Linked DNA regions of Rhinolophus ferrumequinum. The protein of the gene in region 2 binds, or shares a complex with, the protein of the main gene of each other region. Links are inferred from orthologs where the notes say so. Each region holds a gene or a part of one and is shown on either strand. Other genes may lie near its edges.

Region 1 (6,908 bases), on a different chromosome or scaffold from region 2:
AAAGAAAATACCATAAGTCGAAAACGCGTTTAATACTACGCTGCAGAGCACCGGTTATTTACACTTGTGGTGGCGTGTCTGACTGGGAGCTGTGGCTTGCCACCACTGCCCAACCCTGTGACAGAGCACCACACTGCACATCACTATCCAGGGGAAAGAGCGAAATTCGAAGTTTCTACTGAATGTGTATCACTTTCAAACCATCGCAAAGTCGAAAACTTCTAAGCCGAACCGTCTTAAGTTGGGGACCATCTGTATTTACCTCATGGTGTTACTTTTGAATGGATTAATATACATGAAGTTTTTCAACAAGGCCTGGTACATTACAAGCACATATAAATGCTTTCTATTATTAATATTTGCAATGGGCATTGAGTATATAACCGTGTGTGCATACTTCAGGATTCTTTGGGTAGTAAGCAACAGAAATCCAGCTCAAACTAGCTTAATAAAATAGCAGGACTTATTGGATTACATAGCTTGCCGGTGGACAGGAGAGGTTACATAACCAAAGGAGGAAGTATCAGAGCTAAGGTCTCACCCAGAAGGGTGAGTCCAGTAGGGGACTCAAGTCTCCTCACTCTGTGCAGCACTGCTTGTCTCTGACTGTCCTTGTGTCTTGGCATCATTCTTTTTTCTGAAGACAGATTTACTTGGTATCAGAGAAGAGGTCTACTGTAGATCAAAAGCCACATTCTTTCATCGCAGAATCCAAGAAAAATGGTTACCCTACCCCCTCCAATTCAGAGAATTTTATGAAGGACTCTGATAGTTGACCTTGAATCACGTGCTCACCGTTGGACTAATGCATGGCTTTGAAGGGACATCATATTCTGTCTGGGTCACATGTCCACCCCACTGAATGGGAGAAATCATCATAAGTGAAAGCCCACCAGGACCATGTGGAGTAGGAAGAGGTCCCCAAAGGAAGGGGACCCCCCTTACCAGAGAGGTGTAAGGAAAGCACATTAGAGAGATTAAAACAATAGCTACCAGAGCTGGCTACAAATAAAACACTGTTCCTGCTTCTAGTAGGAGAAAAACAGGTACAGATAAATTAATCATAATTATCGAGCATCTATACCACGTCAGGTGCTGCAAAGTTGGTGGTACAGGAAGGAGTAAGATACTCTCATTCTCAGCTGCTGGTCTTACAGAAGTATTTTGCTTTCCCCAGAATGTTCCTGAATGCCCTTTGCCCACTCCAATATTTGAAATGCAGTAGATAAACTAGGGCAAAGATATTATGCCAGACTACAAAGGAATAAAATATAAGCACTCATTTTCAATTTGGAAAGGAGCTTGTCTGGGCAGTATTTTTATTATTTTTTTTTTAATTCCTTCATGGGGAAATTGGCTACAGTGGCTGAATGATTAATTGGCATTGCTTTGTCTGAGTGGAGACCACGCTTTTAATTCTGAAGGATTAAGGGGCTTCTTTGGTCACTTCCTCTATTCTTTACTGATCACAAGAGAAGGCAGAGATGCAAAAGTATTTGTCAAACAGAAATGCCAGACATTTATGCCTGCTGTGCTTCTACTTTCTCATTTTAATAATTATTAACAGCTTCGCACTGGTTTTTTAGGGCTGCTATCACAAATGACCACAAACTGCACATCTTAAAACAGAAATGTATCTTCTCACAGTTGTAGAGGACAGTAGTCCAAGGTCAAGGTGTTGCCAGGACTATTCTTTCTCTGAAGGCTCTAGGGAAGGATCCTTTCTTTCTTCTGCCTAGTTTATGGTGATTGCTGGCAATCCTTGGTGTTCCTGGGCTAGTAGATATATCACTCCAACCTCTGCTTTCTTTTTCCTTGTGTCTGTTTGTTTCTTTTCCTCTTCTTATAAGGACACCAGTCATATTGGATTAGGGATCTCTCTGATGACTTCACCCTAATTTGATGACATCTGCAAAGACCTTGTGTCCAAATAAGGTCACATTTCACAAGTACCAAGGGTAAGGACTTCAACATATCTTTCTGGGGGAGACATAAACTCATGACAAACCTGATCTCATTTACAAAATGTTCAAAGTGACTTACAAAAATAAATGAAACTGGGATTTCCCAAGCCTCTCACCAACTTGAAAGTATGAAGAATGTCATATCCACTCCAGCCTTAATCTGTTAATTATAGTGGCGATCTCTCTCTACCTGTTTATGGGGAACCTCAGTGCCTTTTGAAAATCACACCAAAAAATAACAAACTCAGGAGCTCCTTAGGAGAGATTCTCCCACTGGGAGGAAAGACCAGATTCACACTTTTGTGCCTTTGCTTACATGGGGCCACACCTCACCACCTCTGTGGCTGGTGACACCCTGAGCATACTCTCTGCTAGTAGGCTCACTGCATTTCCATGGCAACGCTGCACTGTGGTTTGTGGCCGTGGAAGGGACTTAGGCCCTTGCTCTCCATCTGGTTGCACTTTGTCACCATACTGCCTCGTTTTACAAAGTTTGTCCTGAGCCAACCCCTGCAGCCTGAGGTCCTAAGCATTTGTGCAGAGGCTCACATCTGGGCTAGGACCACTCCTTCTGTGGGCATCATTTCTGATTGTCTCCTCACGCACCAGAGCACACAGCTCCCCTGCCTTCATTTCCCTGTTCTCCTTCCAAACACACAAAAAAGCAAACACTCTTCCTATTAATTCATGAAACTAGATCCCAGAAGAGCCCAGAACAAATTCATAAAATCCTTAGCAAACAACCAAACTTTGAATCTTGATTTGGCTTCACCCCAAAAACAGGAGCCCAAAAGCATCTGCTTTATACACAAATCCAACTCCACAAAATTGATTTAAAAAATCTGAGAAAGGAAGAAATAAATGTAGAACTGAAATAAAAGGCCAGAAGAAAAAGATTATATATAGAAGCACATTGTAAATCACATTGTAGTGGCCAAAGAATCAGCAATAAGATTCAGAGTCTTCAAACAAAACAAAACCAGTAGTTCAGGAGGAACAAGATTTGCTCTGGTACTGTGGTCTGACATTTCTATTTCAGTTAACTTTATGTTTTCAGTTTGCTGCTTTGTCACATCAAACCCATTTCCCTTTCCTCCTGGGCACAAAGCTAGACTATCAGGTGTCGCCATGTGACTAGGCTCTGGCCACCGAAATATGGCCAGAAGTGATGTGTGTAATTTCTTGGCAGAAGCAGATAAGAAGCAGAGGTACCTTTCTCATAGTCTCTGTCCCCATCTACGAGTTGAATGGGAAAAAGTCTGACCTCCATGAGGAGAGTAGAACCACAGAATGGAAAGAGCCTGGGTTCCTGTAGGTTTATGTGAAAGGCTGCTGGGCCATGCCACCCAGACCAGACTGTGCCACAGAGACAGGTAACCCTGTATTGTGTTAAGCCACTGAGACTGCAGGGTTTAGCTATTACAGCATCTAGTGTCCTTAAGTAAAATAGATGGGATAACCCTGGCCTTCTTTGTGTTGAACTCCTCTTCCACCCACTTTCCCTGAGGCACCAACAAACGTTCCAAAATATCAATTGCAACCTCTCCCAGCACAATAGAAAATATTCTACCAGGGGAGGTCTCGCAGTCACATCGATGAATTCTGAACTTTCTTATGATGTTTGTTTCTCCTGGATCTCTATACCTTCAGGCTAATACGACTTTACTCTTTCCAACCTGATAACTATTCATTCTTCTTAACAGAAGAAACTGAACTGAGGCTGGATTTGGAAAGTTCTGCATTCTCTCTGGCAACACTGCAACATCAGAGAGTCGTTTCCTTTGATGACAAAACACAAAGCGTGTATTCTTTCTCCTGCTGAGTGACAAAGCAAAGCTGCCCACATGGCACACTGTCCAGAACAGCAGGTCTTCACAGTCTTCTCAGAAGAGCCAGGCAGAATGGAGAGGAGAAAGAGCTGACCCCAGCCCGTCGTCTTTCACAGAGCAAGGTAAGCATTAGCCTGACATGACGTTCCCAGGCATGCTGATATGGCTGATGGAGTCCCTGTGTCATACCATTAGTACTCTGAATGACTCAGGCATTATTGTTTTCTGGTAGGTCATTTTGACATAAAATTCTCATGATGAATGGCTTTGCGAAACTCACTGGGCAAAATGTTCATTTCCTGAGCTGAGACTGCAATTAGCAGCCAATCAGTGAAGCCAATCACTTAGCACTTCCACATTACAACTTTAAGAGTATGAAGTCTCTTGGTCACTGGTCACTTGCTAAGACACAGAAGAAGCACTGGTCTGGAAGTCACATGACCTATTACTGATGCAACAATAGCCACCACTTATGGGGCACTTGTGTGTTTCAGATCATTCTGGGCACCTTTTCTGTGTCATCTCAAACATCTCCTTTCAAATAGGCTATAATTTGCATATCTACAAATTTTGTAGATATCGTCATTTCGCAGATAATTTCATAAACATTCCCATTTTACAAATAAAGAGAATAAGGTTCTGTCTACAGTATGCTCCACTGTATGCTAGTCCCTCCTGGAGATAGGACTCTGATTTTGAGGAGTTTAAAGTCTCTTTAAGAAAGTGAGACTTTCTAGAAGTAATTTGAGAATCATAAAAGGTAGCATACAAAGCTAGGTGAGTCTATTTGCTTCTCCAAGCTTGATGGAGCCTGAAGGTCATGGCTAGAGTGAGTGGGGGTGAGAGTCATGGCCAACCTGAAAGGTAAGGCTAGGATTACAGGGTAAAATCAGCTCAGTTACCAGATATTGGGATGGATAAACCCCAACAGCTGAATGGGAGTATGGCCAGCATTGAGGTGAGGGTGGAGAGACACAGTGGACATCAGCTGGGAGAGAGGAGATGGGTACTCAGGCGGAAGCTCAGGATCGCCTGTTCGTATTCTGTTGGGCAACTGGCCCAGGGACGCCCTCAGGTCAGTGACTCTTAACCTTGCCTGCACCTAAAAGATGCTGGGGGGAGCTTTTAAAAAATACTGATGTCTGGTCACTATCCCTCAAGATTCTGATTTAGTGGGTTTGATTTAATGGGGTTGGGTCTGGGTGTTGGGATTTTTCAGAGCTGCCTTGATGATTCCAATATGAAGTCAAGACTGAGAACCTCTGCCTTAGAGGTGCCACCACTCACCTGCCTGATCATTTATCTGTGTCTTTAATGGGCTTCCACATTCACTGGTTGTTAGTTCTATTCTGATACTTATAGGGGCTTTCCTGAGAAGGAAAGTATTAAAGAACCCTGGAGTTAGAAAGGGCAGGCTCCCTGGAACTGGTCGGACTCCTGTTAGACCTTGAAGGACTGATGTTTCTCTCGGGACAGGAGGGGCTGTATAGTAATAGAACCAAGGAGTTGGGCTGCCCACAGGCTCTCTGCCAGGTGAAATCCTGCCTTCACCTAAGGGAGTAGAGATGAAGCCGCGAAGAAGCTGATGAAACATTTCACAGTTTGGCTGGGTTTTGCCTTGCAAGCACGTGGTCCTTTAGGGTCTTGCCTTCTGATCAACCTCACAATTTCCATCTGCAGATTTAAAAAACCTTTATGGAGCCCCTTCTGTGTTGCAGGCACTGTGCTGGGGGCTTTGTCATGTTATCTCACATGATGTATAGGGCTTTTGCTTTTTTCTTTTTTACAATGCCTTATCCTTACCTCTTCAGTTTTTAGAGATTCCATATAAACATCTTAATCAGCTGGATTGTGGAAGATGGATTAGCTTTACTGTTTGGGGCTTCCAAGAATAGCTAATAATAATAAAATAATAATAATAATTAATAACAATAATTAATGATATATTAATTATATTATTAATTATTGTTATCATCATCATCTTCATCATCATTTATTGAGCACTTACTATATCCCAGGCATGGGGCAAACATTTTAGATTTTTGCCATCCCAATTCATTCCCATAACAACCCTAGAGCTGTATCATTCCCCTTTTAAAGATAAGGAAATAGATGTTTCGAGACTTTAAGTAAATGTCTAAAGGTCCTTTAAAAGTCTTTGCAGGACTAATGTTCAGATCTGTTTGGGTCCAATCTGACTGTTCTGATACCCTAGGACTGTGGTTCTCCTCCACCTTAGGGGCATATCAGAATATTTATGGCACTTTTTAAAAATAAACTTTTTATTTGGAATAATTTTTGATTTTCAGAAAAGATACAAAGACAGTAGAGTGTTCAAGTCAGATTATGTTGAGTGTTAAAATATAGATATGAAAAATCTGATATAAAGAAATAAATGGTTCCTTCAATCCATGTTTGTTGAGAGGGGTATTAAAGATGGCTTCACCGACATTTGTGCTACGTTCTAAAGGATGAGTAGTGTTCCAGCGACAAAGTAGAAGACAGGAAACGTGTTCAGGCACCAGCAACCTCATAAACAAAAGCACAGCTGCCTGCGAGCTCATTAGCATGTTTGGGCAAGAATGAACTCCAAGGTGGGTCCAAGGTATGAATTCATGGTAGAAAGTGGTGGAAAAGGTAGATTGGGGTCAGAAAAAGAACCCTGAAATATTTTTTGAATAACCTGATCAGATGTGTCCATTAGGATGAATAGTTTGGGCTACAGACGGAATGGATTAGAGATTGGCTGGATTGTGGTTCTTCAAACCCCACATGTCCAATACTGAATGAATTCTCCATCCTTCTTCAGCATTTCTCCAGGTAGTTAAGGCTTACCTGTCGTAGCCACTCAATCTCCAGGTCTATTGATTTTACCCCCTTCTCTCCACTGCCCCGCCATCACCGTAATTGAGGCTCTCATTTCTTTTCTGAGTATTGCGTTAGCCTCCCACGTATTCCCTTGCTCACAGTGTACTCTTTTAATTCACCTTCTTCATTATTGGTAATATTTCCAGCATGCAGAACTGATTTATGCAACTCCTGCGCTCAAAATTCTTCAGTAGCTGTCTTTACCCATAAAATAAAACTTGAAACTCTTCGGCATTGCTTCTAGGAC
Region 2 (8,042 bases):
GGCTCAGGAAGGGAAAGTCAAATCTAAGACCCAAAGGGAATGAGGGGTGGGCAATTTCCTAGAACCTAAGGGTGCAGAGATGGGACACTGGTTCTGAAGGAGGAAGGCGCTGGAGGCCTGGATTTCTCAATCTGAGGACTCCCAAACCCCAGCCCTGGGCCTGAAAGAATTAGAGTCAAATGGAAGTCAAGTCAAATTCCAGAGTCTTTGAGTCATTGAATGACAATGGTCAGACTGCTCAGGCCAGGGTGGGTGAGGAGGGAAGGAGCCTTCAAAAACACAAACAGCTTCAGCTCTGCGGGGCGGAAGCCTTCCCGCGCGGGGCTCTGGCCTCTGCGACAGGCAAAGATGAGGAACTCTTCCCGTTCCCTTCCTCGGGAGATGCTGCCTCCGGGACGTGCCCTTCTAGAAAGCAGTAGTTAGGCGCCAGAGCTAGAATCTCCCCCAAAGGAGTCTGGGGGCCTCGACTCTCGAATTTGCGGGTGAACAGGGTCGGGGGGGGGGGTCAGCGGCCCCTGATGGGCGGCCCTGAGAACTGGAGGAGGCTTGCCATCCCCTCGTGGAGCAGCCTGGCAAACAGGTTTTCCAGTCCCACCCGGAGGACGTAATCCGGGACGCCTTCCCCGCCGGGGCCGGGTTTCAGGCCCCACTCCAGCAGTTGGGGCGTGGAGGGGCTCGACGCATCCAAGTACACCCGGCAGGTGGTAAACCAGGCACCGGCGGGGAAGAGGGAGAGGTTGACGGACCGGAACGCCAGGATCCAGCAGTGCAGCTGGGAGCTAGATCTCCACATCCACAGATGGACGACGCGGCTCCTAGGTGGCCAGGTAGGATGCCGGGGGCGGAGCCCTCTCGCTGGCCGGTGCCTGGGAGGAGGAGGGAGAGGGGGGAGCGCCTCCGGGTCTGGAGAGGGTTGGGCGCGAGGGCTACCACCCTAGCCCGGGGCGCCTGGTCGGGTCCCCAGGGAAGGGGCGGGGCTCCGCTTCCGAGGTGTCTGCCTGGCTGCGGAGGTGCAGAGGCTGTGAACCTGCGACCGCGCCCACTCTCCTTCGTCGCGGAGCCCTCGCTGCCAGTCCCTGGAGGCGGCGTGGAGGGAAGGGCTGCGGGTTTTGGGAACTCGGAGTCCACGGTTCCGTGGCGACCGGATGTGAACTGATCTTGGGGACGGCGCTCTCTGTCATACTGTGTATTGCCACCCGCCAGAAGCTCAGGTTAGTGGCAACTGCGGATACCCCAAATCCAGCAATCGCGTCTTCAGTCCCAGGAGTCTCCTCCACCCCCACCCCACCCCACTCCCAACTCCTGCTCCTCCAGGAATCAAGGTCTGTTATCAGTCCTGGCCCTCCAGCTTCTCATGTTCTACTTGACCTGTTGCTTGTCACCTCTGTGGTCGACTGCCCCTTACACAAAAATACACCTGAGAAAGGAGTTGGTGGGACACAGCCCAACTTCAGTAAGCCTTATAGGCGGGAAGCGTGAGATTGAAAGATAGGGGGACAAGATTATGGACCCTGGACCATTGCTATCTTGGAATTCAGCAATTTTCACCGTCTCCCATCCCTGCCCACCCCACCCCCCCAAATTCCAAGTCTCTAGCTGCTCTTCCCTCAGACCCGGAGTCCAAACCCTCAGTTCCTTCGTTCCATCAGGCCCCTGCTCCCTGGACTCCTGGGTCTGAGGGAAGAGAGGCTGGGGGCCCTCCAGCTCTGAGTTTCTGCTAATTCACTTTTTATCCCCTGCAGCCATGTGGGCCCTCAGCCGGCGGCGGCATCTCTGTCTGACCTTCCTCCTAGTGTGTGTTCTTTCATCAGTCTTATTTTTCCACATCTCTCAAGACCTCTTTCACAACGGCCTGGACCTATCTGCCCTATTTGCAGACCGACACCTGCTGACAAATCCTGTGGCCATCTTCTGCCTGTCAGGCACGCCAATGAGCACCAACACCTCCTCTTCCTGTGCCAAGAACCCTGCCTCCCTCTCAGGCACCTGGACTATCTCCCCAGCGGGCCGCTTGGGTAATCAGATGGGGCAGTACGCCACTCTGCTTGCCCTGGCTCAGCTCAATGGCCGCCGGGCCTTTATCCTGCCGGACATGCACGCTGCCTTGGCTCCCGTGTTCCGCATCACCCTGCCTGTGCTGGCGCCTGAGGTGGACAGCCACACGCCTTGGCGGAAGTTGCAGCTGCACGACTGGATGTCAGAGGAGTACGCCCACTTGAAGGACCCTTTGCTGAAGCTCACTGGCTTCCCCTGCTCCTGGACCTTCTTCCACCATCTCCGGGAACAGATCCGGAGTGAGTTCACCCTGCATGACCACCTTCGGGAAAAGGCCCAAGGTTTCCTGAGACAGCTCCGCCTGCCGGCTACTGGGGTCCTCCCGCGCACTTTCGTGGGTGTCCACGTGCGCCGTGGGGACTACCTGGAGGTTATGCCTCAACGCTGGAAGGGTGTGGTGGGCGATGGCGTCTACCTCCAGCAGGCCATGGACTGGTTTCGGGCGCGGCATGAAGCCCCCATCTTTGTGGTCACCAGCAACGGCATGGGGTGGTGCCGGGAAAACATCAACCCCTCCCAGGGGGATGTGATCTTTGCTGGTGATGGGCAGGAGGAGTCACCCGAGAAGGACTTTGCGTTGCTCACACAGTGCAACCACACCATTATGACTATTGGCACTTTTGGCTTCTGGGCCGCCTACCTGGCCGGTGGAGACACTGTCTACCTGGCCAACTTCACCCTGCCTGACTCCAGCTTTCTCAGGATCTTTAAGCCGGAGGCTGCCTTCCTGCCTGAGTGGGTGGGCATTAATGCAGACTTGTCTCCACTCCAGAAACTGCGGAGGAGTCTTTCTGGAATAGCCTGATCGATCTAGGGCCAGCATTGTGCGTCTCCAGAATCCTAGCAGCTTCTGGAGAAGCTTGTGGTGGTCCGGCAGCAGATGGGCACCCATTTCTAGAGTGATTCTAATTGGCTCAGAGCTACCTGCAACTGCCTGAACATTCTAGAACCAGCAGAAGACATTTTCTTGATGATTGGCAATGTCTGGGGAGACTCATGACAGTTCTGCAAGGCACAGTGCCCACCTGTAGTTCCAAGCCTATATCCAGAGTACTTTTAGATGGCTGCCCACCCAGGAACCAGGAACTCCCCTCTTTAGTGTTGATCATTCTGGTCTTTTCTAGAAGAGATGTTTCTCCATTCCTCAGTCATCAGGACTGAAGAAACTCATGGAAATTCTAGAGCAAGCACTCACCAACTCTCCTTCTGTTTCTGGATTGGTTCTAGATGGGAATTTGTTCTAGAGGGGACCAGTTCTAATGCCTGTGAAGAACCCTGCAGGGCCCTTGCAGAGGGGAGAGGGTTCTGGAATTCCAGATAACTTTGGTGAAAAATCGAATGAAGGTACAACCAGAAGCTCAATACCTCACCACTGCCAGGAAGATTGATGGAAGATAAACTATGTATAGCTGTGACAGTTTGTGAGAAGAGTGGAATTCTATCCATCCTCTCAGCCCCTGAAAAAAACACACAAAGACTTTGGGCTGCTGGGGTTGATGGGATGGATTTTTCTGGAGGTCAATCAACATAAACATGACCTTTGGGCTTGTAGAAAGCCACCGGTATCACGCCCCTTGCCAACCATGGTCTGTCTGCTAAATCTGGCTTTGGGCAAATGAGGGATGGAAAGATCCCAAGGTATGCAGACAGGCCTCAAACCCAAGCAGGAGCACTCTTGGCCAGGGTCTGGCCAAGGAGGATGGGATTCTTGACTCAGATTTCAGGAACCCCTTGATGCTTTTTGAAGGGGGTGAAGGTAGATCTTTTATTGCAGAATTGTCTAAGAATCTAAGCCTCTTTTTTAGTCTTTTCAGGGAGTTTTGGGAGACTTTTCCTACTCAGCTGCCATAGTGAGAGAGGGAGGTATGGATTAAAAGTCTACGTCACCAACTCCTGTCTCTGTAGGCTTTTTTCCTTTTTCTTTTTCTTTTTTTTTTTTGAGTCTTGTGTGCATGAGTGTGTGAGTGAGTGAATGAGTAGGGGGAAAAGTTCAGAACTTCCAAGGACTCTCATGACTCATATCTTAGGGTATTGTTCCTGCTCAGATTTGGCCGCCTCTTGTGGGATTTGTGGTCTCTGAGCCGCAGTTCCTTTCTCCGGACTCTCAGTATCGGCCCCCAGACCGATTTCCTTTGGAACCTTGACGTGCAGCCCCAAAGGCTGGAAGAGAAAGTGGGGGAGGAAGTGTGCACAGAGTGTAACTGTTGAACTACACTTCCCATAAAGGTATGGGGTTGGTTGCGGTAATCAGCTATGGAGACCCCGGGGTCTTCTGGGAATCGTAGTCCTAGGGCTGGGAAGGGCCACTTCGCGCGTCTTCATGGCTCAATCACTGGCTTCCCAAAGGGTCCTGGGCTTCCAACCGGAAGCCTGGGTCCTGGGGCCCAGGGAGAGGAGGAAGCTGAAGCGCAGAATTTCGTTCCTCGTTTCTGGAAAGCTAGAGAAGACAGGATACTTCCACCTCAGTAGATGCTGCGAAACTTCCGGTCTGAAAAGGCGGCTGCTTCTGTGACATCAAGGAGGAGTGGGCGGGGCCTCCCTTTGTTGCGGTCCAATCGGACTCAGAACTGGGCTTCCGGGCGGGGCCAGGGAAGCCCCCAGGGACTATCTTTTGCGAATTAGGGGTTTTACGTGGGAAGCTATATGGTGGAGGCTGTGGGAGTTCCTTGTAGATAGGGGCGAACCGTGACTCTAACCGCAGTCAAATGCTCTCTATTACAAACCGTATCCCCAACAAAACCCTTAATTTTAGTAGTGGGAAAATATCAGTGTGGAGGGACGTGGCTCGGTCCTCCTCTCTTAAAGCCCTCAGAAGCCGGACTCGGCTCTTCAGCGAGCCCTAGTGTTCGAGGATACATCACCCTGGAGAGACGGTCGGGCAGCAGTTGTCGAGGGTGCAATGGGATTCCTCGGTTTCCTAACAAGAAGTGTGCGCCCTGTAAATTTAGGGTCCATTAGTCTCGGGAAGGGCATCTCTCCGTTTAGCCCTCACTTCCTCTCGGTTTGGGGTGAGAGGACTCTTCCAGGGGTTCTGGCGGCAATGGGGCCGCGGCTTCCCCTCCTGGTGGCGGCGCTGGCCAGCTGCCTGCTTCCTGCCCGGACTTGTGTCCTGTGTGATACAAAAGTCGTGGAAGCGCTAAACAACTTGGAGATGGATTACCTGCCTGGCCACCTGGGGGCCGAGCACCACAAAAACTTGATGAAAAGGGTAAAGCAGGCCTTGCAGGATTTCAAGGAACTGCCGTTTGACGAGGATTCCTATCTGGGGGTCGTCGGTGAGGGCAAGGTGGAGCCCGGACCCCCGGTCCTGGGAAAAGAGGGTTCTGGGGCTAGGACTGCTGGGGGTAGGGAGAAGAAGGCTGCAAGCAGAGTCTCCTGTGTTCGGGAATGGAACAGGTTGTGGTACAGATTTCGGGGTTCCCGGGGCTAGGAAATACTGTGTTCCCATAGCCCTAGCCTGCAATTGTAATAAAACTACAACTCCCAGAAAGCAACGGGAGGGTAATCCCTTAACCAGACCTATCCGTACCCATGGGTATTGTAGTTTCTAAGACTAGGTGAGGCAATGAGACAATACTGGAACCTGGCGTTCTATCTCTCCCCATAGATGAGCCCACACTGGAGAAGGCATCCTGGAGTTTGCTGAAGGATCTGAAACGCATCACGGATAGTGAAGTAAAAGGTAAATGCACGGAGGGGACATGGGAGGGGCTCCAGAATCCCAGGGAAGTGATTGCTGCTGGTGATGCTTGGTCTGGGGGTCATATACTGAGTTTTGGAGCCAGACTGCTTAGGTTAAAATTCTGGCATTGCCACTTCCTAGCTGTGTGGCCTTGAGCAAGGGATTTTGCAGCTTCCTCACCTCTAAAATGGAGACCATATCAGTGACCTCACCCCATTTGTTGCTTAGCCATTATGTTAGGTGGTCATTTCAGTTTCACTGTCCTTCCCTGAGAAGGCCCAAAAGCGGAATACCGGAGCAGCAGACTGAGGCAAACTTCCTGTACCTCGCACTTGGAAGTGGGGGAGGGGACCACTTTGTTTCATCCTGCTTCTTCCTAGGTGAGCTCTTCGTGAAAGAGCTATTCTGGATGTTGCACCTGCAAAAGGATACCTTTGCCAGATATGCTGCTCACTTCCAAAAAGAGGGTGAGGGAAGATGGGAGTCCTGGACCCCAGCCCCCCTCCTTCCACAGGCCGAGAGTCCCTGTCCCCAGCCCCTTTCTTCTGAAGTCCAGTCCCTCAGCTCTCCCAACCCTCTCCCCACTCAGACCCAGGGGTCCAGGCCCCCAGGTCCTTCTTCCCTCAAAGCCAGGAGTTCCAGCCCCAGCCTCTTCCTTTGCTCACTTCCAAAAAGAGGGTGAGGGAAGATGGGAGTCCCGGACCCCAGCCCCCCTCCTTCCACAGGCCGAGAGTCCCTGTCCCCAGCCCCTTAGCTCTCCCAACCTTCTCCCCACTCAGACCCAGGGATCCAGGCCCCCAGGTCCTTCTTCCCTCAAAGCCAGGAGTTCCAGCCTCAGCCTCTTCCTTTGCCCCGTCCCTCATCCTTTTTAACTTAAAAATCTGATCCTCATTTTTTTCTTTCTGCGGAGGCAGATTTTTGTCCCAACGAATGTGGTGAGTTCGGATCATGGGAGCCGGTTCTCTCTCCCTCATCCTTGCCCCGTGAATACCCAGCCTTTCTCCTCCCCCTTTTGGGTCTTGGTGTTTCTTCATTCTCCGCGTCTGGGAGGTTCCTAGGTCTCCAGTATTCCTCCCGCACCCAAAGCCTTCTTGGCGAGCGCAGCTCATTCTTTCGCACTGGTTAGATTCCGCTTCCCACAGGCCTGCGCTCTAGTCCCGCCCCGCCCTTGGCCCTGCCCTCTCCTTTTAGCCCCGCCTGCTAGTCGGGAAAAACACCCCCTTGACCCTGCCCCTTCAGGTATGATGTTGCAGACGCTGATCTGGTGCAGTAACTGCAAGAAACAGGTTCACGCTTGTCGGAAGTCCTTGGATTGCGGGGGTGAGAGAGCTGGGTCCAGCAGGAGGGGTTGGTGCAAGAGGGGCGGAGCCAGAGGAGTGACTGAGTCTAGAGAGGGCGGAGACTAGAGCCAGCAGAGGAGAAAGAGAGGGGCCAACCTAGTGGATGGAGGTTGGGGGAAGGCCGAGAACCCAACGGGCTTCCTACAGTAACCCCCTATCCCCAGAGCGCAAAGTCAAGGTCCATGAAATGGAAGACATGATCCTGGACTGTGAGCTCAACTGGCATCATGCCTCTCAAGGCCTGACCGATTACAGCTTTTACAGGGTGGGGCCCTCCAACTCCTGTAACCCTTGAAATCCAAGTCCATCAGGCCTGTGTGAACCCTGTATCCACAGGCCTGCACCCACAATCCCCATGACCCGTGACCTACCAGATTTGGCTCCCACTCACCCCGGTGACACCATGCCCTGACCAGTACACTCAGGACTCCCATCTCCCCTTGAGGCCCCGTGATCTTCTTACCCCTGTACTCCCCCAACCCCTGAACTCCCCAGGCCTCTGTGACCCCTTGAGCTTGGGTCTAGGTTTGGAGGAACAAGTCTGAGACCTTGGTGTCCAAGGGGAAAGAGCCTACCCTGACCAAGATCATGGTAGACCCACTGGATGCAGGCACCTATCGCTGCCAGCTGGACACCGTGCAATCTAGCCCGGCCACGGTCATCCGTTTTCATGTCACAGGTCAGTGCTGGGGAGTTGAAAGAAGTATGGGTTTCAGGGTCCTGGGGTTGGGGGTGGTCCGCTTCAGGGGTGTGGCCTATGGGGGCATAACTCCCCATCGGGTTTTCAGGCTTCCTGACCTGGGTGTGGCCTCTGGCCACAGCTGCAGGGTTCCCCTCTGGGTTTGTTCCCGCTACACACAATTGGAGGCTGGAGGCGCGTGATTATCTCCTGCAGGGTTTGGGGCAAGTTGCTGAGGGGAGGGTTTGCCTTGGCGGGACCTTCATGCCTTCCCAGGACTGTTCTT

Evidence for each region. Proteins that work in one complex are often made in the same cells at the same time.
Region 1: the proteins of IZUMO1 (region 2) and IZUMO1R are in contact, whole or in part, in a crystal structure (PDB 5JKC), measured with the Homo sapiens proteins. The link is inferred for Rhinolophus ferrumequinum from reciprocal best matches to the Homo sapiens genes IZUMO1 and IZUMO1R. Residues at the interface, in NP_872381.2 of Homo sapiens: Met75, Val77, Tyr134, Val141, Leu146, Trp148, Lys150, Asn151, Lys153, Glu155, Val156, His157, Ala158, Arg160, Lys161, Ser162, Tyr163, Asn239, Ser240, Ser241, Pro242, Ile245; in NP_001186135.1 of Homo sapiens: Lys42, Tyr44, Glu45, Ile48, Leu58, Trp62, His65, Leu66, Asp67, Gly80, Leu81, Leu82, Met83, Pro84, Gly85, Arg87, Ile91, Met145, Ser146, Tyr147, Gln171.

The regions. Positions count from the first base shown.
Region 1 is NC_046294.1:65,204,240-65,211,147, forward strand, and holds the start of IZUMO1R (sperm-egg fusion protein Juno), read left to right. Parts: upstream 1-3,847; 5' UTR 3,848-3,915; intron 3,916-6,908. UniProt on the Homo sapiens protein: Receptor for IZUMO1 present at the cell surface of oocytes (oolemma), which is essential for species-specific gamete recognition and fertilization.
Region 2 is NC_046298.1:44,187,643-44,195,684, reverse strand, and holds the start of IZUMO1 (izumo sperm-egg fusion protein 1), read left to right. Parts: upstream 1-5,027; 5' UTR 5,028-5,095; coding exon 5,096-5,330; intron 5,331-5,662; coding exon 5,663-5,737; intron 5,738-6,117; coding exon 6,118-6,204; intron 6,205-6,651; coding exon 6,652-6,672; intron 6,673-6,976; coding exon 6,977-7,057; intron 7,058-7,241; coding exon 7,242-7,342; intron 7,343-7,602; coding exon 7,603-7,756; intron 7,757-8,042. Other genes in the region: FUT1 (galactoside alpha-(1,2)-fucosyltransferase 1), read left to right, coding at 1,745-2,860. UniProt on the Homo sapiens protein: Essential sperm cell-surface protein required for fertilization by acting as a ligand for IZUMO1R/JUNO receptor on egg.